Drosophila melanogaster: one gene and its partners. The protein of the gene in region 1 interacts with the protein of each later gene in a pairwise test. Each region holds a gene or a part of one and is shown on either strand. Other genes may lie near its edges.

Evidence for each region.
Region 2: the proteins of zld (region 1) and CG6996 interact in a two-hybrid assay, tested with the Drosophila melanogaster proteins (one large-scale study listed by BioGRID).
Region 3: the proteins of zld (region 1) and Mst98Ca interact in a two-hybrid assay, tested with the Drosophila melanogaster proteins (one large-scale study listed by BioGRID).
Region 4: the proteins of zld (region 1) and CG34377 interact in a two-hybrid assay, tested with the Drosophila melanogaster proteins (one large-scale study listed by BioGRID).

The regions. Positions count from the first base shown.
Region 1 is NC_004354.4:19,780,094-19,785,709, reverse strand, and holds the start of zld (zelda), read left to right. Parts: upstream 1-2,161; 5' UTR 2,162-2,856; exon of another isoform or gene 2,857-3,201; 5' UTR 3,202-3,423; coding exon 3,424-5,616. UniProt on the Drosophila melanogaster protein: Transcription factor required for zygotic genome activation (ZGA), a critical event in early embryonic development during which the developmental control passes from maternally provided mRNAs to the expression of the zygotic genome after fertilization.
Region 2 is NT_037436.4:20,205,050-20,210,345, forward strand, and holds CG6996 (uncharacterized protein), read left to right. Parts: upstream 1-2,484; 5' UTR 2,485-2,575; coding exon 2,576-2,579; intron 2,580-2,816; exon of another isoform or gene 2,817-2,818; coding exon 2,819-3,909; 3' UTR 3,910-4,551; downstream 4,552-5,296. Other genes in the region: CG7290 (uncharacterized protein), read right to left, coding at 1-877, 949-952.
Region 3 is NT_033777.3:28,289,312-28,293,597, forward strand, and holds Mst98Ca (Male-specific RNA 98Ca), read left to right. Parts: upstream 1-2,026; 5' UTR 2,027-2,147; coding exon 2,148-3,152; 3' UTR 3,153-3,345; downstream 3,346-4,286. Other genes in the region: Mst98Cb (Male-specific RNA 98Cb), read left to right, coding at 3,604-4,286.
Region 4 is NT_033777.3:22,320,756-22,326,497, forward strand, and holds the start of CG34377 (uncharacterized protein), read right to left. Parts: upstream 3,340-5,742; 5' UTR 2,970-3,339; intron 2,625-2,969; exon of another isoform or gene 2,610-2,624; 5' UTR 2,384-2,609; intron 1-2,383.

The DNA of each region.
Region 1 (5,616 bases):
CCTCGCATTGCCCCATCCTCCTCCTCCTCCTCCTTCTTCTTCGCCTTCTTCTCCACACTTCCACCCACATTCGTCGTCCGTCTCGCCCGCGTCTTCGTCTTCGTCGTTTGCTTTATTGTTTTATTGTCAGTTTAGGGATTTGACAATTTGCTTGCTGATTTTTTATGACAATCATGTATGTAAATTTCAGGCCTCTCTGTCGCACTCTTCTCCGCCGCCTCACTCTCGCCTTCTCTCGCTCCCTCCTCCGGCCCTACTCCAATCTAAACTCTTCCTCAAGGCCCCACGCACACAGCCGCACAGTGGAGTTCGTATCTGTGTGGCTGCGATGGAGGTACTCGTATCTGGGCTCCATTAGCCCTCGCCTTTTCTCTTACGAAATTTTTAAATACTTTTGGGCCATTCTCAGCTGAGCTTGATTCCCAGCTCCAGTTGCCCAGCAAAAAAAAAAAAAAAAAATAAAACCTAAAACAACTTGAAACCCCATAGTTACCAACAGATTCAAACCCTTTCTGTCGCTATTTATACCCCTTAATCGTAGATTGGAAAAAGCATACCCATTCGAAAGACGAAAGATCGCCTGCATCTTTGGAATATATATGTACATACATACTTATGCATACTTACTTACATGCTTAGTCTTCTTCTAGTCTTCTATTTAAAAAAGTTTCTCTAGTGAGCTTATGATCTTATGACAGAATCTGATAACAGGGTATCCGTTAGTCCTAGCTTACGATTTTTTCCTTTCTTTTTAAATGTAGATTAGCTTTCGTTGTCTCTCAGCTCTGCACTCCCGTATGCCCAACGCAATAAAAGTTTGGTTTATTAATTTTTTGAACGTTCTCAACTTTTACGAGGCCCGTGACGTCGATAATCGTCGGTTGCCGGTCGCTCAGAAACTAGGCTAGTAGTGCGAATTGGTTTTGGCCCGGTCCAGTGAGTCAACATCTGACTAAGACGCTTCGAGGAGTCTATTAATAAGCCGCCGTTCGTACCAAGGCTAAAAAAAAAAAAACGGGCACAACTGAGCAACCAAGCCTAGAACTGCAACACAGCTTTAAATTAGGCGAGTTGCGATATGGTAATCGGTGGATCACACAAAAGGGCCAACCAATCTTCGCTGTGTTCTTGAAAAATCCACATTATCGCCACTTAAGCTAAATTTTGCTATTACAATAGAGTACATAAACATTTATTTATATGGTAAGTTCTTCATAGCGTAGATGACTTCTACGAACTGCCAGAGTTTTAAGCTAGAGATCGGAATAAACATTTCGAAATCCAACCATCCTAAAGAAAACAATTTCATATAAAATTTTTAGTGCCTAGGGCGGCTTAAATATATGCAGTTCGCTGTATATATCCAGAAACGCAAATACAGCGAAATAATTTCATAAATAAACAGTGGAAAATCATTTTAACACGATCAAAGCTATTGATTTGCTGCTAGAAAGGCAATGCAGAAGTTGTGTATTATTACAAATACACTTTACAATTGCGATCCATCCAAATTCTACGGATTGTTAAGTGCAAAACCGGTTATCAATGACCTTACTTAAATTACTTTTTTATAACCGTTCAGCAATTTTCTGTGGAAAATTGTGATGGCTTGCAAAAAAGGATTCAAATTTGTGTGCATTATAAAACGTATGTATATATGTGTGCATTATAAAACATATGTATATATGTATATTAAACATCAGTTTTCACTAATAATGCCATTCAAGGCATAAAAATATAAGCATTCAAATTGCGACTAATCGTTTATGTACATGTCTTCGAGAGGATTTATTAGTTCGATCTAAACAGATTGCAAAACTTAGGTCTCAACTAATGCTAATTATGCATGGGATACTTTATCTTGATTCCGAGCTAACTTGTGGTACTCTCAATGCAAAGGGTATTGCAAAGTAAAGGCAGCGCAAAGCAAAGGCAAAACCAAAAGCAAAGCAAAATCAAATGCAGCGGCGTTGACGGCAGCCGTGCGCGACAGAGACAGCACGCACATAACCGAAACGCCGCCGCGCAGTGTATATAGCGCACACACACACACAGCCACGCATGTGCGTCGACTGCGACGCCGCAGCCACAGTCGCAGCCGGCGTCGCTGCCGGCAGAACGGGTAGAACGAATGTGCCGCATGCACGGCGGTGTATTTGTCGGTCATTTGTATTTGGAACGCCGTAGCAGACAGAAGGACACGGGTGAAAAAGCGACGAAGCGTGCGAACGGAGTGGAGCGGCTACTTTTAGCGCCCTTTTTTGTTTCATTTTCCCCACTCACAAAACGCAACATTTTTGGCAACAACTTTTCGGCAAACCAATTGAAAAACAAACTAAACGAACTAATCGCGGCTCGGGAATCAACAACAAATTTAATTCCGATGCAATACTTGTGTTCGTAAACAATTTTTTTCTGTTCGATCCGATCCCCGATAAACGATAAACGCGAATTCCAGTGATCTTTTGGAAAAGGGCGAAGCGAAAAGCGAACCCAAACCGAAAAACTCTAAATCACCGGTAAAAAAAAAAGTGGCGAGAGAGAGCAAGAAAGAGAGAGAGAGAGAGATAGGGAGAGTGTGATCACATCGCATCGCCATTCTCGCTTCCCTCGCAATTCGCAAAAACAAAATTCGAAATTCAAAATTGACCAGCATTCGTTGCGGTTCCGATATTGGTTTCTTCAGTTCAGTTCAGTTCAGTTTCGTATTATTTATCGAGTCTGCTGTTGTGTGTCTTTCGTTTCGCCGAAGAGGAGCGGTGAAAGAGAAGAAGGAGGAGGAGCGGAGCAGAAGAAGAAGGAGCGAAGCAGAAGTCCAAGTCCAACGAAGAAGTGCCCAAAGCGAGGCGCAGATAAGTAAGAAAAGCAAAAGAGAACGGAAAAGGGATCTTCATCGAGGATCCTTCATGTATATATTTTTTTCGAGTGTGTGTGTTAGTGTGCGTCGTGAGCGTCCATGTGTGCTCTCCACAAACAATTGCAGTTGACATTACGTTCGCAAGTAAAAGCTATTGTATTTCCACCATACAAATCAAATTACAAAAGTGCCTGCAATTTCGCATCGAAGTGAAATGGACACCAAGAACCGTTAGACACCAAAAGCTTTGAAAACACAGTGTGCATGTGTTTGTTTTTTTTCCGTTTGCAACTCAAGTAACTTCAAACTAATAATGGCTTAAACAATAATTGGCTTATTTTCAGTACAAATACAAAGCACAAAAAAACAAAAAATCACAAAAAAATAAAACGAAACGAGAGCATATAACATAAAAACCCAAAACAAAAACGATCGGCTCAGCAGAGCCAACGAAAAGCAAGCAGCGTAGCAGCAGGAGCAGAGGATGCACCACTGATCCCGGAGAGCTCGAGACATGAGAAGCGAAACACCGAGCAGCCACCAAGCATCGACTTATGTAGCGGTCCATGACGAGCATTAAGACCGAGATGCCGCCCCTGCACGCGGCAGAGGCGCTCGCCTCCAGCAGTGCTACAGACAGTGGTGGGGGAGGAGCAGGAGGAGGAGGAGGAGGAGGTGGAGGAGGATCGGGCGGACCAGGAGCGGGAGGAACGGGAGGCGTAGGCAGTGCGCCCGCCACACCCAATGCCACAATTAGCGCCGCCGCCGACTCCAGTGATAATCAACCCGGCACGCCGCAGCCCACGCAACAGCAGCAATCGACGCAGCAACAGTTGCAGCAGCCACAATCGCAACAGCAGCAGCAGCAGGCCATGGGTGGAGGAGATCCCCAGCAGCAGCAACAGCAGCAGCAGGTAACGGGTATCACCCACCAGCCGTACGCCACCCACCACATGTACTCCGCATCTGGCGGACAGCAGCAACAACAGCAGCAGATCTACGGCGGACTCTACGGCGGGGACATGCAGCAGCAGCAGGGTTACGCCAGCAGCTACATCAACAGCTACGAGCAGTTCTACCAGCAGCAACAGCAGCAGCAGCAGGGCACTGATTACGCCTTTGGCACCGTGGGCGTTGACTATGGCAAGAGCGCCGGTGTTCGCTATCATCCCTACCTGCAGACGCCAACCTCCGGACTGGGAGGCATTCCAACGGCCAGCTCGGCACAGGAGGAGGCGGGCAGTGCGCCCAGCGCGGTCAGCACCACCACAGCGGTGGCCATGAGTCCGCGTGTGGTTAGCAGCAGCAGTCCAACGTCGACGTCCTCGCACCTGCAGCTGGGCAGCTCCAGTGGCCAGACACCAGGCTCACCAGGCGGAGCCGCCGGAAGTGCCGGATGCAAGTTGCAGTGCAAGAAGTGCGGCATCCTCACCACCAACGAGTCGGAGCTACAGGAGCACATCGCCAACGTGCACGGAGAGTCGCCGTACGGCAGCAGCGGTTACGCCAGTTCACCGTACATCAAGGAGGAGATGCCCACACCACAGCCACCCGGCGTTGGATCCGCAACGGCCAATCCCGGCGAATTACTCGACCTAGATTCCCAGAAGATGGTCTATCACCAGCAGCTGCTCCAGCAGCAACAACAGCAACACGACGTGGTCGCTGGACTGCCGCTGGGCGCTCTGCCGGATCCGCTGCACTCGATGCAATCTATGCAGCAGCGCGCACTCCACAGCTGGGAGCAGCAGCCACAGCAGACGGTGGCCTCCGTGGAGGGCCTGCCACCCTACATGCAGCAGGGATTGGGCGTGGGGCTGGGAGTCGGTGTGGACAAGTCGCCCTACTACTCACCAAAGCAGTCACCCTATCATCAGTCAACCGGCGTTGGCGGAGCCACGCTGATCAAGCAGGAGTACGGCGGCCACGGACTGATCAAGTCCGAGTATCCCGATTCGCAGCATTACGTGGACAAGTCCTTCGATCCCACAGCTGGCGGAGCTGGTGGCGCGGAACTGTGCGCCAGCGTGGCCACCAGTCCGGCGGAGTTCCCCAGCACCACTACGGGCGGACCAGGGCAGGAGGGAGCGGCGGGTGCGGCGCCAGGAGGTGGATACCGCGGTTTCGAGCCACCCAGCTCGAGCTCCGTGCTGCCGGCCAACAGCCTGACGGCCAAGGCGGCCACCTGGAAGTCGAACGAGGCGCGCCGTCCGAAAACGTACAACTGCACGGCCTGCAACAAGTGGTTCACCAGCTCGGGCCATCTTAAGCGCCACTACAATACGACGCTGCACAAGAATGCGGTTAAGTCGAGCGGCCAGCCGGATCCAGCCACCCTGCCCATCTCGGCGCACCACCATCCCGCCCGCGACCCGGTGACGAAGCCCAGTCGCAGGGGCAATGCCGCAGCCGCTGCGGCCGCCGCTGCAGCTGCCGCCTCGGCCAGCGGTCAGGGTCAGCAGCAACAGCCGCCGATACCGCCGCCGCCGGCCAATGTGCCACCCCCGGAGCCGCCTAGAAGTCCGCCCGATTATGGCGGAGGAGGCGGCTTGGGCGTGGGAGCGATGGGCGGCGCTGCCATGTCCCAGTACTCGGCCTCACCCTCGCCCACACAGCAGCAGCAGCACCACCTCAACCACCATCAGCAGCAGGCCAACGGCTATGCTAATGGCACCGCCAACGGCTATGGCTACATGCAGCAACAAGTGCAATCCACGACAAACGCTTCACCACAGCACGCTTCCAACAACAACAGCAAC
Region 2 (5,296 bases), on another chromosome or scaffold:
GCGTTTACAAAGGTCGCAGTGGTGCCCACACATCTGTCGCAGTCGTTCCTCGCTTCCATCCTGGTCACACACGCCTTCGAGATGGTATCATAGTAGTATCCCGAGGGGCAGGTCATCAGCTGATAGTTGCCGGCGGAGCACAGGTAGTACTGGTTGCACGCGGTGGCTGCGATCGTTGCTCCCGACGAGGAGCATGTGGTCGGAGCAGACACTCCGGTCAGGGATGGATCATTGGTGACCTGGGCGCAGGATGAGGCCATCTTGTAGCCGCAGTTGCTGGCCTGCACATTGAATACTAGACCATCTTCGCAGGATCCCGAGTGCAGAACGTTGTCCTGGCAGAAGTTCCAGCCACTGCAGTCGGAAGGGCTTCCAAAGTAAAAGCCATTCTTGACAAGATTGCATAGGTTGAGGGCGACCGACACAGTGGAGCCATCACCGGCGGACTCGCTGCATGGATAGTTGTTCTTGTACACACAGGCCATTGTGGTGGGATTGAAGTTCTCGCCGGCAGGACAATTGCCCCTCACAGCGCCGGAGGCTCCGCAGTAGTAGTAGCCGCCGCAGGACGAACTGGATGCCGCGAAGGATCCCACCGCCTTGCCCAGACAGGGATCGGAGTTGCTGGTGCAGGTGCTCGGCACAGTGCCCGTGCACTGCTGGGCATTCTTGTCGAAGTAGTAGCCCTGGGGACAGGACATGGCCGTGAACGAGGATCCCTGGCACTGGTAGTAGGTCGAGCAGTCCGACTGGCTGGCCACGTAGTTCCCATTGCTGACCAGCAGGCACAAGGCGGTGACATTCACATCGGCTATTGCTGGAGCGGCACAGGCGATCACCAGCGCCACGGCAGCGAGGATGGTTGCTTTTTGTCCACCTGGAAGCGTTGAATATATTCATATGATGTTCCAATTTTTCCTGTTTCGAACTTTTATATGCGATACCCACCCATTATTTGCTTCTTCTTTTGGTGGCTCCTAGTTGAATACTGTTTCTGGTTGATGGACTTCCTGGGCTTTTATTTGCAGTCCAGCCAGGAGTTATCTTCGATCCGCTGGGCTGTCCAAGTTGATCGACGACCCTTCAGCTCAGGAACCCATTTTGTGATGTATCGCAAGCGAAGCCAACGAACCATTTTTGCATGATCGATGGCCATTTTGACAAGTCAACAAAGTTTTTGTGGGGATAAGAACTTTCCCAGAACTCAGACGGATAGAAATTTGGGTTCTTTTTATTAACTCAAATGTATTTTTTAGACTGCGTTTCTATAATTGGAATATTAAAAAGTTAATGTGTAAATAAAAGAGCAATAAAGAATTACATCGTGCTCTAAACTTATAACAGAGTTCGCATTTTAAAGCTAACGACTTTATAATTGTTATAATTGTTTAACCAAATGTATATACTTGATTAAATTTGAATGAGTTTTTTACCGAATTATATAATTCAAGTAGTACCATATCAAGAAGTTCTCCAAATATGGTCCTTTCTATTTTTTTTTTCAAACAAATCAATTAAACGAAATGAGATTAGAGTAATCTAAATTAGCTTAAAATTACCTACATATTATATGGCAAAACCCACACACTTTGTTTTTAATAATATTGACTAATTGTGGCGATTCCTAGACATATTTGTTACTATCGGAACAGAAAAGTTGGACTTATGTGGTAAAGCCCAATTGACTTTAAAAAAACAAGTAAGCTAGTGTAGTTCCTCGACTTTAAGATACTCAGTACTCATTTGAAGGGAGTTCAAGGACACTAGATTTTTTATATGTGGTTTACTTGTTGTAGCATACCTATACACCAAGTAATTTTCACATCAATCTTCTATATTCTTATACAATAGTATCTTTCCTTTCAACGAACACTCTGTACACTCATTTACTCTACGACTATCAGGTACAATTAAAACCGACGATCGGCAGATTATTTCATAAAGTTAGTTTAATCGTAAATAATTTCACAATAATGTATAATTTTAAACAGTAATCTCAATAAGTATGTATGTCAGTAAGAATCGGTCATCGTGGACTATTAATAGCATAATGTCGTGTGCACCTGAGTCAGCAGATCGCAGGCGATAAACATAATAACATTTGATTTTGAAATAAAGTTAATTACTATATGTGTAATAAATTAAATTAGACCCAATCTAAAGATAGTAATTATAAACAAGCGGATACGAATTCGACAACGAATACTACCAAAAAACCAAAGGTATGACCGCACAAGTTGACAAAAATAAAAACAAATTGGGTTTTAAATGAACTGCGCACCGGCGTTGGCCAAGTTTATCACTTGTCAAATTTGGATTTAACCGAATCTGATAAAAGTGAAATATGAATACGTCATGCGTCCATTTTAGCCACTGAAGACAGTTCTAGACTAACTTAGAGCTTCCAAAATTTACAGACCTTTCGGAAAACCCAAAAGTAGCGAGGGCATAAGCATTGTCTTTCGATTTGTATTTATTGGCGAACTTGGATGGCATCCAGTTAGACGTTCTTTTCCTCGTTAGCCGTTAAGAGGTACTTGTATCTTTGGAATACTAAAAGTTTGCTGAACTCGAGATGGGTGAGTATCTCTGGCACTAGCAGATATCCATCGAAGTAACTATATTGTTGTTTCGAGAAGAATTACCATTTCATAGACAGATATAAATATAGAAAACCGTAGACTTAGGCTCAAGAAGTTCATAACGAAAACTCAAACATTTATTGAAAAAAAAATATGCAATTTAAATCGAAATTGAAAGCATACTTCACTTGCAACTTATTTCGAATATCGTACTTATACCCTTTTATGCAAAACAGACACAAAGCTCGCCTTCATTTCCGGACTCATCATGATCCCCACGATATCAGGCGCCCTGACCTTCAATGCAACTCTAATATGTAGCTTGGTGGTCAACGGAACCAAGATGAACGATCCTCGGGCGTGCAACGCGTGGATTCAGTGCATCGATGGGAGCCCTGTGAGTGGTAGCTGTGCGACTGGACTCTTCTACGACCGGGAGAGCCAGAAATGCCTGAGTTCCAGTAGTATCAAGTGTCTGTCCAGTGATCCGTGCGCTGCTCTGCCCACCGGATTCGCGGCTGATCCGTACTCCTGCAATGGTTATTACTATTGCAAGGATGGCAAGGGGACGCACGGAGTGTGCAACACTGGGATGAATTTCAATTCGGGAACGCAGGACTGCATCCGCGATTTTCCGTGCTCGAATAAAATGGACCCGGATAGCTATTGCAACATCTTGCCGGATGGGGTCTTCGTCAAGGACACGGACAACTGCAATGGCTATCAGTTGTGCTGGGATGGCCAGGTGATCAATGGAACCTGTCCGGGCACCTTCTACTTCAAGGCCTCCACGGCCCAGTGCGATTATCCGCAGAATGTGGAGTGTGACTTCGTCCCAGTGCCAGATATTAGCAAGAAGGGTGTATGTCCAGAGACGGGTGGATTTATATCGGATAACAAGACCTGCAATGGCTACTACTACTGCAAGGATTTGGGCAATGGAGAGTTCTCGCTGGAGCATGGCGTCTGCTCCGATGGAAGATTTTTCCTGGCCACCGATGGCGGAGCCTGTGTCCCGCGATCCAAGGTGAAATGCGGCTACGATCGATGCGTGGGCTTGGGCAATTCCACCATTCAGCTGGCCAACGAGTCGGATGATGGCTGCAGGGGCTACTCGATCTGCCAGGATGGCATCGTCATTGGCCAAGGAACTTGTCCGCAGGACGAGTACTTCGACGAAATAACCCAACGGTGCACCACCCAGGTCATATCATATACCGCCTGTCAGATATCGGAGGCAACCACCGGGTCCCAAGTTCCAAGTGGCACCACCACCACCACCAGCAGCACCATCACTAGCACCACCATTGCGGTCCCGGTGTCGTGAGCAGCTCCTCATAAGTATAAGTAGTGCTGTTATCAGGCCCAAGTCCCATACAAATTATAGATCAGCTCTTTGTTTAGATTTCGTGGAATTGATCACAATACAAACATCTGAATTTTCAAATGTATTTAGGTATAAAAAGATTATTTCGAAAAGCTTAGTTGTACGATTAAAAGTTGACTCATTTGTGAACCATCCGAGCCATAATATAATCTTATCCCGCCTGCCAGAAAACGTCGGCTGATGAATGGCACTATCAGCAATATTTTGGTCTCGTGAGCGACGTACGCAATCAGTTTTAATTAGACAGTTTGTTTTTTCGACGCCGATACAATAAATATAAGTGGTGTAATCAGGCGCAATAACGATTAAGTTACCAGATCACCTCTGGGCCAAGATTTCCTTGAATCGATTGCCGAGCAAGACACTCGGTAACGTGAAACCGTGATGTCATACTCAAGAACACCACTTGGAAATTTGGCGATGGGAAAGTACCAGGGAGGTAGCCATTGGATCCCATTCATGGCCCATACATGGGTGATATCACCGTTTTTAACAACTGCAATAGGAGATTTGAATGGAAAAGTACGAAGTTATCGTACTACAAAGTTGATTATTCAAACCACTTTATTCATTAGGCACCATATATGTACATGTACATATGTCTATGAGGTGTCATAACAAGATAACTTATATTATTGAGTTTTTCGGAATTTGTTATCGTTATTTGTTATGATCAATAAATACTAATACATTATAGCGAGGCTGCAAAGTTGCCCCGTTTGTCATTTGAATACTTGACCTTTCCTACATACAAATCAATCATCCGCCCTGTGGACTTGTATAACTTCCTTCTTAAAGTGGACATAATTGATTTCTATGGAGAACGAAAGCGCGTCGATGCATTTCATTTGCATTTCACACTCATACAATATTTGTGGACCTAATGGGTAACATCGACCCTAATAGTTGAATTTAATTAGTGATAGACAAAAACGACCCTTGGGCGTTGGATACTTCTTGCTCGCCTGATGGCCAACACGGAAATAAGCGATCGCGGCAGCTCCGAGTAGCGAATTCATTATCTGGACTATCTGGAATCGGTTTGAAATTCTCCGAACCCTCCACTGGGGTACAATTTTAATTAAAACTGATAATTTTTTGGGCACTGCAAGTGTCACGAAAACAGATTGCCAAATATGAATCGTTGTGTGGCGCAGTTTTGATATCAAAAGGGTTGCCAGAAGAATTTTATCACGCCAACTTCGTTTCGCTAATGAACATTTCCGCCAATGTAGTTCAAAAATCAGTCCAAAAAATCATAGTATTTCTCTAGCATTATTTATACCAATTCATATTTTATTGTTCAAGGTTAGGGTAACATCTTCTA
Region 3 (4,286 bases), on another chromosome or scaffold:
AGTTAAGATTTCGAACCGCTAATAATTTAAAATACAATAATATTATTCACGTCTGCGCTTCAGTAGGTTAAGTCCCGACTCCGATAGAACAACGATCCATCAGCGTATATGTCTGTGAATATATATATGCTGTGCGCAGCCCATAAATAAATATATAAATTTAAATAAAGGCCGCCGCAATACCCGCACACTCACAGTTTGTTTGTCAATAAATCAGAATACTTATCAACGTCAAAGTACCGCAAAGAATGTGAGCAAACAATAAGAACTAAATGTGTGTGTGTTTCAGGAGGTCCATCAGTTTATTGGGAACTATTAAAGTTATTTATGAAAATAAATGGAATACCTACAACTTAAAAATAAAACCTTTCATTGAGCTACAAACATTTCTACACAGTGCCTAAATTATTCGACAAATGCGCCTCTATCTTGACTCCAGCAGGCATTGTGGGTGCCAATTTATGGGCAATCTGTGCTTATTTTCCCATTTCCCAGCCCAACATTGTTTTGGGCCTAGTCCCGAACTAAGTCCGCTAATTGCGCCGCCTTAGCCGGGCCATCTCGACCGGGTTTCGGGGAAGGCCCCGTCCATAATTATGCGAAATGTGCGCCATTTCTTCGGACTGTTGCCTGTTATTGTTTGCATTATTAGCTGACAATTTCGGTGGCACTGTGATGCCAAGTGGTGGGTCTGTGATTAGGCCGGCTCTTTGGGCTCTGGAAATTGTGGGATTAGCAGGCGCTTTGTCTGTGGCTAGAATCTTGGTCGGGCACCATCAGCCTGTCGCTCGATAAGCGCTCCAGGGCAACTCGAGTCCAAGAAGTTGATGTTTTTCTTGCATGATTACGACCATAAGCCAACGGCGTGTTATTGCAGGCCAAAGAAGTGGACGGTTTTCTTGGGAAACGCCCGAGTTCAAATCGATTGAACCAATGTTGCTCTTTAAATTGGTTTAATTTAGACATTTATTGTATCTCAACTTCCTGGAAGCAACTTGATTAAATTTCCTAATTTAAATAACCGGAACTATTGGACAGCAACTAATTCTGAAGAGCAAAGGCCATCTAAAATATCGCTTGATTTCTTAGCTATCACTAATGTGACTATCAATTCGAGGAAATGAAATTTTGTAGAATTAATAAAAGTCGTGTGTTATTAAGAAAATATTAAAACGTATTATATTTATTGTTTGAATACCAGAACGTTTCTTATTCCGAGCACATATTGTAGCGTTTGCCCCTCGCTTTTGGCATTTAAAATGGAGCAAATATTTTAGAATTCACCTGAATCGCATGCAAAAGCCTTTGTCAACATCAATGGTCCGCTGTGACCACGCTCTTTGTTGTAGTTTTTTGTGAATGCGCAATTGTTCAGTGTCGTCATGGCTGTGGCATGCACAAAGCGCCGATTGCAACGCCCATCCATCCACCCAGCAACCCCCCCCCCCCCCCACCTACTAAAGCTTTCAGGATATGCCATCCAACTACCAACTACCATACCGACCAAAACGCTTTTTTTTCGGCGCTGACATGTCCAGGCACTGGGGCAAAAACAAACCCATATATGTATATTCAATAGGCCGGGCGCTGCCAGAGTGTTTTCCGACGTTTTTCTGTAATTCGTTGTAGGTTTTTTCCAAGTTGGCTTTCGGCCGGTCCGAAAAAAGCGGCCTGCCTACATAAAGGCGCTAGCATATTAAAGGCTTAAACCCACTCAACGGCAGATGCCATATTGTTGAAATATATGCAGATACGTCGCGCATACGTCATGTGAAGATGGAATCCGGTTTGCAAAATGCATTCCATTCAAGCAGCGTTCTGTGATTTTTCATTGCAATCGGTTAAGCAATCGAATCCACCAGATTTATGTATTGTAAGCATATATTTCCATTCAAAGCTCAAAGCGATTTTCACCTTACCTGCACAACAAAAACACTACACTAGGGTGTGATCGTAGAGCTCGGTTTTTCAAATTTCGATCGAAGTGGGCCTGGATTATTGTGCAATGCTGTCGTCCTACTGTTATATCTCATTCAGTTTCCTGTTTCGCTCCGAATAACTTCCAAATTGAACAGTAAAAATTTGTAACAAAAATAAAGTATAATATTTTTCTAGAAATTTTATTTTGGAAAACTTAAGTCGAAAACATGTGCTCTCCGTGCGGTCCTTGTAGTCCATGCGATCCCTGCTGCGGTCCCTTCGAGTGCTCACCCAAGTGCTATAATGCCGCCCAATTGGAGGCCTTGCCACAATGTGCTCCACGTATTCCACCTCCCTTCCCCAAATGCATCACCGTGCAGCAACCACCACGCATGATCTGCAAGAAACGCGTGGTGTTCACGGAGAAGATTGTGCCGGAGCCAATGGTGGTTAACCGATGCAGACAGATTACCATTCCAAAGGTCGTTGATGCCACGCGGGTGATCAAGGTGCCCAAGCTGATTTGGGTGTCGCAGATGGTGCGAGAACCCAGAGTAATCTACTACCCCTCGATGATCCCCGATCCCTATGTGGTGTGCTATCCCAAGCGCGTCTGCGAACCCCGGGAGGTGTGTCAGTCGATCCTGTGCCAGCCGAAGCCACAGACCATCGACATTCCGCCGCCAAGGGAGTACTGCTGCTATCCAAATGGACCCATCAACTACAAGCCCAGTGCAGCGTGCCCACCCTGCCCCATTGGACCATGTGCTCCTGGAGGACCCTGCTGTCCGCTGCCCTGCTTCTCCACAAACCAGTATCCCGTTGCCGAGGGTAGGTGCGGACCCTGTGGACCTTGCGGTCCAGGATGCGGACCCTGCGGTCCGCGATGTGGTCCCTGCGGACCCGGCCCGTGCGGACCCTGTGGGCCGAGATGCGGTCCGGGTGGACCGTGCGCCGTGCCCAATTGCGGGCCCTGCGGCCTCACAATGCCGTCGGGTCCGTTTGTCCCGGCTCCGTGTGGACCCTGTGCTCCATGCGGGCCATGTGGACCGCTCGGCAATAGTCCTTGCGGTCCTTGCGGACCCTGCGGACCCTGTTCGCCCCCGTGTCCGTACGAGTCACCCGAGTGCGGCCCCTGCTACCCGTGCGCCCCAACTCCCTGGAATACCCACTGCGGCCCAGTTGGTCCTTGCGGTCCTCAAGTGCCTTGTGGACCCAGCGGCCCCTGTTAACATCATCGTTGTGCTGCCTGGATTGTTGTCAGAAACCGGTGCCCAGTGGACCAACTTGTCTATCACCAATACAGATTGCCATAGTGTATTCTCGCCGTTCTGCTCAAACACCACCAAAAAAGTCTACAGTTCTCTATACTTTGTCAACGCATGGACGACTCATTGGCTGTAAATAAAAATCGGATTTATGCATATATAAGGTTTTTTCAATTTCTTTTGACAGGTTATGCAATGGTTTCTATCCAGATAAAATTTTCTACCAAATTTTTGTCAAATAGTAGGCCTTGCCTCTGCTTGTCAATCTACCTATGTTCGTTACTCAGGCTTAGCTCGCATTTTGAATCCGGTTTCGCTTCGATACACTTCTAAATTTCTCTGATCAAATTTTATAAGAAACAAAAAACAAAAATTAACTTTTTACTCTTTCGGTTTATTCTAGTCGAAACTTAAAATGTGCTCTCCGTGCGGTCCTTGTAGTCCATGCGATCCCTGCTGCGGTCCCTTCGAGTGCTCACCCAAGTGCTACAATGCCGCCCAATTGGAGGCCTTGCCACAATGTGCTCCACGTATTCCACCACCCTTCCCCAAATGCATCACCGTGCAGCAACCACCACGCATGATCTGCAAGAAACGCGTTGTGTTCACGGAGAAGATTGTGCCGGAGCCAATGGTGGTTAACCGATGCAGGCAGATCACCATTCCAAAGGTCGTTGATGCCACGCGGGTGATCAAGGTGCCCAAGCTGATTTGGGTGTCGCAGATGGTGCGAGAACCCAGAGTAATCTACTACCCCTCGATGATCCCCGACCCCTATGTGGTGTGCTATCCCAAGCGCGTCTGCGAACCACGTGAGGTGTGTCAGTCGATCCTCTGCCAGCCGAAGCCCCAAACCATCGACATTCCGCCGCCGAGGGAGTACTGCTGCTATCCAAATGGACCCATCAACTACAAGCCCAGTGCAGCGTGCCCACCCTGCCCCATTGGACCATGTGCTCCTGGAGGACCCTGCTGTCCGCTGCCCTGCTTCTCCACAAACCAATACCCAGTGGCTGAGGGCAGATGCGGACCATGTGGACCCTGTGGACCCGGATGCGGACCTTGCGGACCCTGCGGACCTTGGGGACCAGGATGCGG
Region 4 (5,742 bases), on another chromosome or scaffold:
ATATATTTCGCATGGAAAATGTCATATATAAGATGCTACGGGTCGAGTGTAATTACATGAAAGCTGGACTAAATTTGCATATGCCGCAAACTGACTACGATAAGCGTCTTAAATTTTCAATTTCATTGTTTATTAAGTGCCAAATAATTGTTTGTGTGCAGTGAGCTGAATTTGTGATCAAAGGTGTTCGGCCAGCCCACGTTTTCCGTTTGTAATTTGCAATTTCCTGGACTCCTTCACCTTCGCCCTCAAGAGTATATATCCTCTGCTATAATTATGAGAAATTCGTAAGCCCTGAAGCGTGTGAAAATTCGCAAATGCATCGCGCTTTCCCCGATTACCACCATTGATTATCGCCTTAGCTTTCTAATTACGAAACTTTCCAAAGGGGATTAAGTCCAACTCCTGTGCCACTTACAGCCCACTGTGCGAAAGTGCTGAAATTAAACAGAAACAGAAGCAGCACTCACATTCGCAGATAAACATAAGCCGGCTCGACAATGGCCCCATTGTTTATGGCTTTCACATAAATTTTTATGCAAAATTTCAGCCAGAGTAATTAATTTTAATATGAAAGCCAAACATGCGCGCTCTAACAATTGTCATATAATTTGCCGTCTAGACAGTGGAAATTTAGTATTTTCAATTAACTGCAATGGCAACTGAGCGCTGCAACCTGCCACCCCCTTAACCCATTCCAACCCTTAACACCCCAAAGCACAACAATGCACACAAAAAGGCGCACACTGATTATTTCCACGACGAGGGCAGGAAGTGGAAAAAGCGAGCTGCAGCTCCTCTGACTGCTGACTGCCATGTTGACATTGTTGGCTCAAAAAAAAAAAAAAATAGAAAATATACGGAAAATAAAAACAACTAAATTCCGGAGCAGGCAAAGTATGATTTCACTGCAATCCGACGGTTTAGTTCACTCGTAATGCTAATGAATTTAAGATATCAGTACATAATTATTAAAGATAAGTTTTTTAATATTTAGCTATACTAAAAAACTCAAATCTTAAATTCACGAGTGGCAAACAAAAGTTTTAGATATCCTGGATGCAAATATATTCCCTAGTTGAACGTGCACCCATTGTGCAGGGGAAATCAATCCACTGAATGGCTGAATTCGATGGGAAAACAGCGAAAATGAGCCGGGATACCCCTGCTCGGACGCCCCTGCTTGCAGCCTTGAATCCGGAATATCAGGCGTGCAGCAGCAGGCAGAGCGACGTCCTCAAGGTTGGCAACAAAATTGCACTGCCAGTCACTCGAAGGGGTGTTCACAATGGTGAAGGGGGTGGTGGGTCACGAATTGCAGAAAAAATGAAAGGGGTAATGGGAGGGGGGGGGGGTCGGGTTGCAGCCTCGTTCGTGTGCCAATGTCAGTGCACCTGGCGCTGCACTTGGCACTCGGCATTCACTTCGAGTCGCAACTCAACTCGCCTCAACTCATCTCATTTCAACTCGACTGGCTGCTCCCTTTCCCAGCCAACAGTGCGTATTGCGGTGGCCGGGAAGCCTTACAAAGGGGGCATCCCCACCCATAGGCTTCAGCTTCGATTTCACTTTTTTCCTTTTTATTTTTTTGGTTTGGTCCCCAGCTCTCGCACTCGTTTTTTAATTGAAATTTCATTTGCCCCGTTTGTTTGCACATAATTACGATTCGGGGGACTTTTGTCGCTTGTTATGCAAATTTAAGGCCAGCTCATCCCGCGCTGAATGAGTGTGAATAGACGGAGATGCATGAATGCCCAACTCGAGCTGCATTCTCATATTTTTCATATTTATTCTTTTCGGCTTCGCTGCGGTTTCATTGTGGTGGGAATGGCCCAAAAAGGAATGGTTTTAGACGGGCTGAATGGAAGAAGACAGCCTCCAGTCAGCTGAAGCTTCATTCAGCTTCCAGTTTCTCGATGGTTAAAAAATGAGCACGAAACTAAAATCCTTTCAAATAGTGAACTCGTCTGGGAAGGCTGCAAGAAGCTGCAGACAAGTTTTCCAAATGCATCCATAAACTGTGCTACTTGCAATGTTTTAAGTATCAAAAATGTCTCAGATTATAGCAAATTTCAATGAAGCGAAGCGAAATTTGTAGTTCTTTGGTTGGTAAAGGCTTTCGGTATCTTTCTGATGTTAAAATTTGAATATTTACATATTACTATTTTAGCACTAGCACCTTAATTGGCGCGCACTATTTCAAACTAATAACCTATTTAGGCAATCAACTGAATAATAGTTATCAATCTGATATGAAGCCGTGGATTAGTACGAACCCCAGTCGTACTTCCCCACAACGCTCCGGAAATCCGGCAGTTAAACCCATTGACTGCTGATTGAGTAATCAACGAATCGAGACCCCGTAATTCCGCAATTTACTTACATTGTGAGCCGTAATCAGTAGGTGGATCGGCTGTGTCCTGTTCGCGGCTCTCAAGACATGCAAACACTCGCGCACACTCACAGCCAAGTTAAGCGGTTCGGAAGTCGCTATATATAATCAAATGCTGCCGCACTTCATTTGCCGGGGATTGGCCAACTGCTCCGTGCCCGCAAAGACATAATCCCAATGCCACCCACTTGTTGGGGACTCGACCACTGGATAAGTTCTACACGGAAGAAAACTAATCGAATTGTATTGGCCAATAGGTACTCAATGCATCTTGAGTTGCATTAATCTATCAGATCTCATTCAATGTAAGAAATCAAATTTTTGTTCTTGATTAAGTCTTTTTAAGTAAGCAGTAAGTTTATTAGAATATTTTATAAATAATATAAAGTTACTGTAATATTTTTTGTATTATATATTTATATTGAGCTAGCGCAAAAAACACGGACTTAGACCATTAAAAGGAAACGTAACATCAAACAACAAACAAGATTAAGAAAATGCTGTTACTTGCTGTTACTGAACAAGCACTAATATTTTGTCATTATCTTTAATGATTTTTATGGATGTGAAAACATACCGAAAGGGGTGTTTTATTTAGCTTTCTCTCAGTGTAGAGCCTGCCGATCACACACGCACAATTGCCGTTCGTTTGATTTACGACATCGGATTTGAAATTCCCCGCCGTTGCCTGCGTTTTTTCTTCTAACCAATTTTTTTTTGGCCAGAACAATGGCTGGCGAAAACGCGCGCAAAAACTGTCACCGGAAGTAGGTTCGCCAACCGGAAACGCGGAATGGTGCAAAATGGCGGGCAAATTACGCGACAAGCGGCAGTTTGCTGCCCGGCTGATTGCAAGGCGTACTCAGTGAGACGGCCAAAACGAATAGGCGAACTGCAACCGTGCACCGTGCAACCGGGAGCGGAGTAAAAAAACGCAACCAAAGTATGCAAAGCACGCGAGCGTACTGTGGCACCATCAGCAGAAACACGGCCTCCTGGGCCTGGGTTCTTGCCACTGCCTCAGTTGCCTCTGTTGGCTATGTTGCCTCTGCCGGTGCCGTTGCCGGAGAATCGAGAATCGGGCAGAGCAGAGCAGTGCAGTGCAGAGCAGAGCAACTGAACTGAACTCCTCGAGGAAGGCCGCGCCGTGAACATTAACGCTAGCGTTAACGCTAACGATAGGTTGACGGATGGGGGTAATCGGGGGTCTGGCTGGTTGCAAGTGCCCCGTTGTAAGCGATACCCAGGAGGGAGGGTTTTTTTTTTTTTTTCAACCCAGCTTTTTATTTAACTCTTCTTTTTGCGGGCCATGCCGTGCATTCTCTTTTTATTCTCGCTGCAGCCACCCCGAAGCGGAGCTGAGGCTTCAGCCTAAGAGCGGAAAGTAGGTGAGGCACATGAGCTCGACGGCTGGCAGGATGAGGCAGCGGATGAGGGGCAGGATGAGGGGCCCGGAGAGTGTTTACCCCGGCTTAGACGGCTCTGACAGGCCGTCTGGGCTCCAAAGCATGAATGAGTTGTGGAAGCAAATGAAGTGCCACGCCAGCCGACGTTGCAACCCGCAGCGTATTTAAATATAGCAGAGAACAAGCAGCAGCACCAGCAACAGCAGTGGCAGTGGCAGCGGCGGCAGTGCAACGCGTGCAGCAGCAACGGAAAAGGCAGCAGCTGCGCAGCCAGCAGAGACCAACGCTGCGATGCACTGGGAGAAAAGAGTGTGCTCTATGCACAATATTATTGCGTTCCTTACAGCAATACTTTAAAGCTTTATATATGGAATGGAGTGGCAAAGCTTAAGAGAATAGTTGAGTGAAAAACTGTAAAGAACCTTGTCCATTGAATACACTTTTTAGTAAAATATATATATATATATATACTTCATTATAGGTATATATGTTTCAGTGTACCAGGACAGGCGGCAGACGCTCACAGGCTATCATGTCACCGCTGGCGTCCTCATTTGTCTGTTTGCCTTGTGTGCTTGTGCAATTTTTTTATATTTTATTTTTAATTTCTTTTTTTTTAATTTTTGAGCCAGACTGGCAGTCAGTCAGTTTAGTTGCTAGCGCGCCTGGGCATATTTTGTGCTTCATCATCTCGGCCGCTGATGATGACACATGCGAATGACTGCAAACAAATCCAGGGAGCGGCAGTTGCTGCTGCTGCTGCTGATGTAGCTGTTGCCACTGCAGACTGATATTGCTGCTGTCATCAGCAACATTTCGCTGTGGCAGCTTCGCTGAAACTTTCTCATGGAGCGGGCGACTGTTTGCTGATGCAGCCAAATGCGAAAAGCGGGTGTGCGCCACACCTGCCGACCTTGGTGGGTGGGTCTAGACCCGGGTACCAGAACTCCCACGGTGGTTTAATCAACGAATTACGCCGGATTGGAGTGTTAATAATGCAAATCTATAGATGGCAACGCGGACTAATCAGATTGGATGCAGAATATTGCAGGCTTTTTGGAGGGATGTCATTAAAAAATAGAAAACACGGGTAAATTCGTGTTTATTTGATAAGATATCTTGGAAAGGGAATTAGGAATGTTAGCACATTTCCAAATTTCCTGCACTTTAAATGCATATTAAGGCATTTAAAAAATTGACGATGCAGATTATAAAAATTAAAATAATAAAAGGCTTTATGTGGGCTTAAAAAAAAGGTAATCAAAGGAAAATTAAAGAACAATGCCCCAAGAAGTTGTGATGGTCATGGATCTGGGGTCTGGCTGAGATTCCGCATAGACGGAATGCAGGGCGGAAGGCATGTCCCGCTTATGGGCTGTCCGGGGCACGTACTTGCGGTGGCTGCCACATAATGAGAGCTGGCTGCGGCACAAACGTGCCATAAACTGTGGCACGCCCCCTTGGCCCCAGCAGACCGCTTCCACCGATGAATATTCCATGTGGCATGCGTTGACAAAGCATTCGGGCCTCGTCATCTGGAGCATGGGGGCATATCATATAGGCAAAGTTTTTCCTTTTCCCAGCACACACATTGTGTGCTCCGCACATGGGACATACACACATACTCCTCGCACATCAGGATGGACCGACGAGGAGCAGAAGCTCCGAGCTGGGGCTCAACTTTTATCGGTCTTGTTTTGATAGTTGACTCGCTGCTAAGCCTATTAAGGCGCTTGAGTCGTCCAACAAGCCAAAGGCTTTTGCACCGACCGGGTTTCCACAGTCGATCCATCCAAAACCAAACCACCAAAACCCTTTGGGTTTCTATATATTTTTTTTCTCTTTCAGTTTCTGTTGTCTCCCTAGGAAATGATAGGCCCCACAAGGGAGCTAAGCTCTCGTTGGCGTGTCTGTTGCTGTGGCTCCTGTTAATTATGGGTGGTG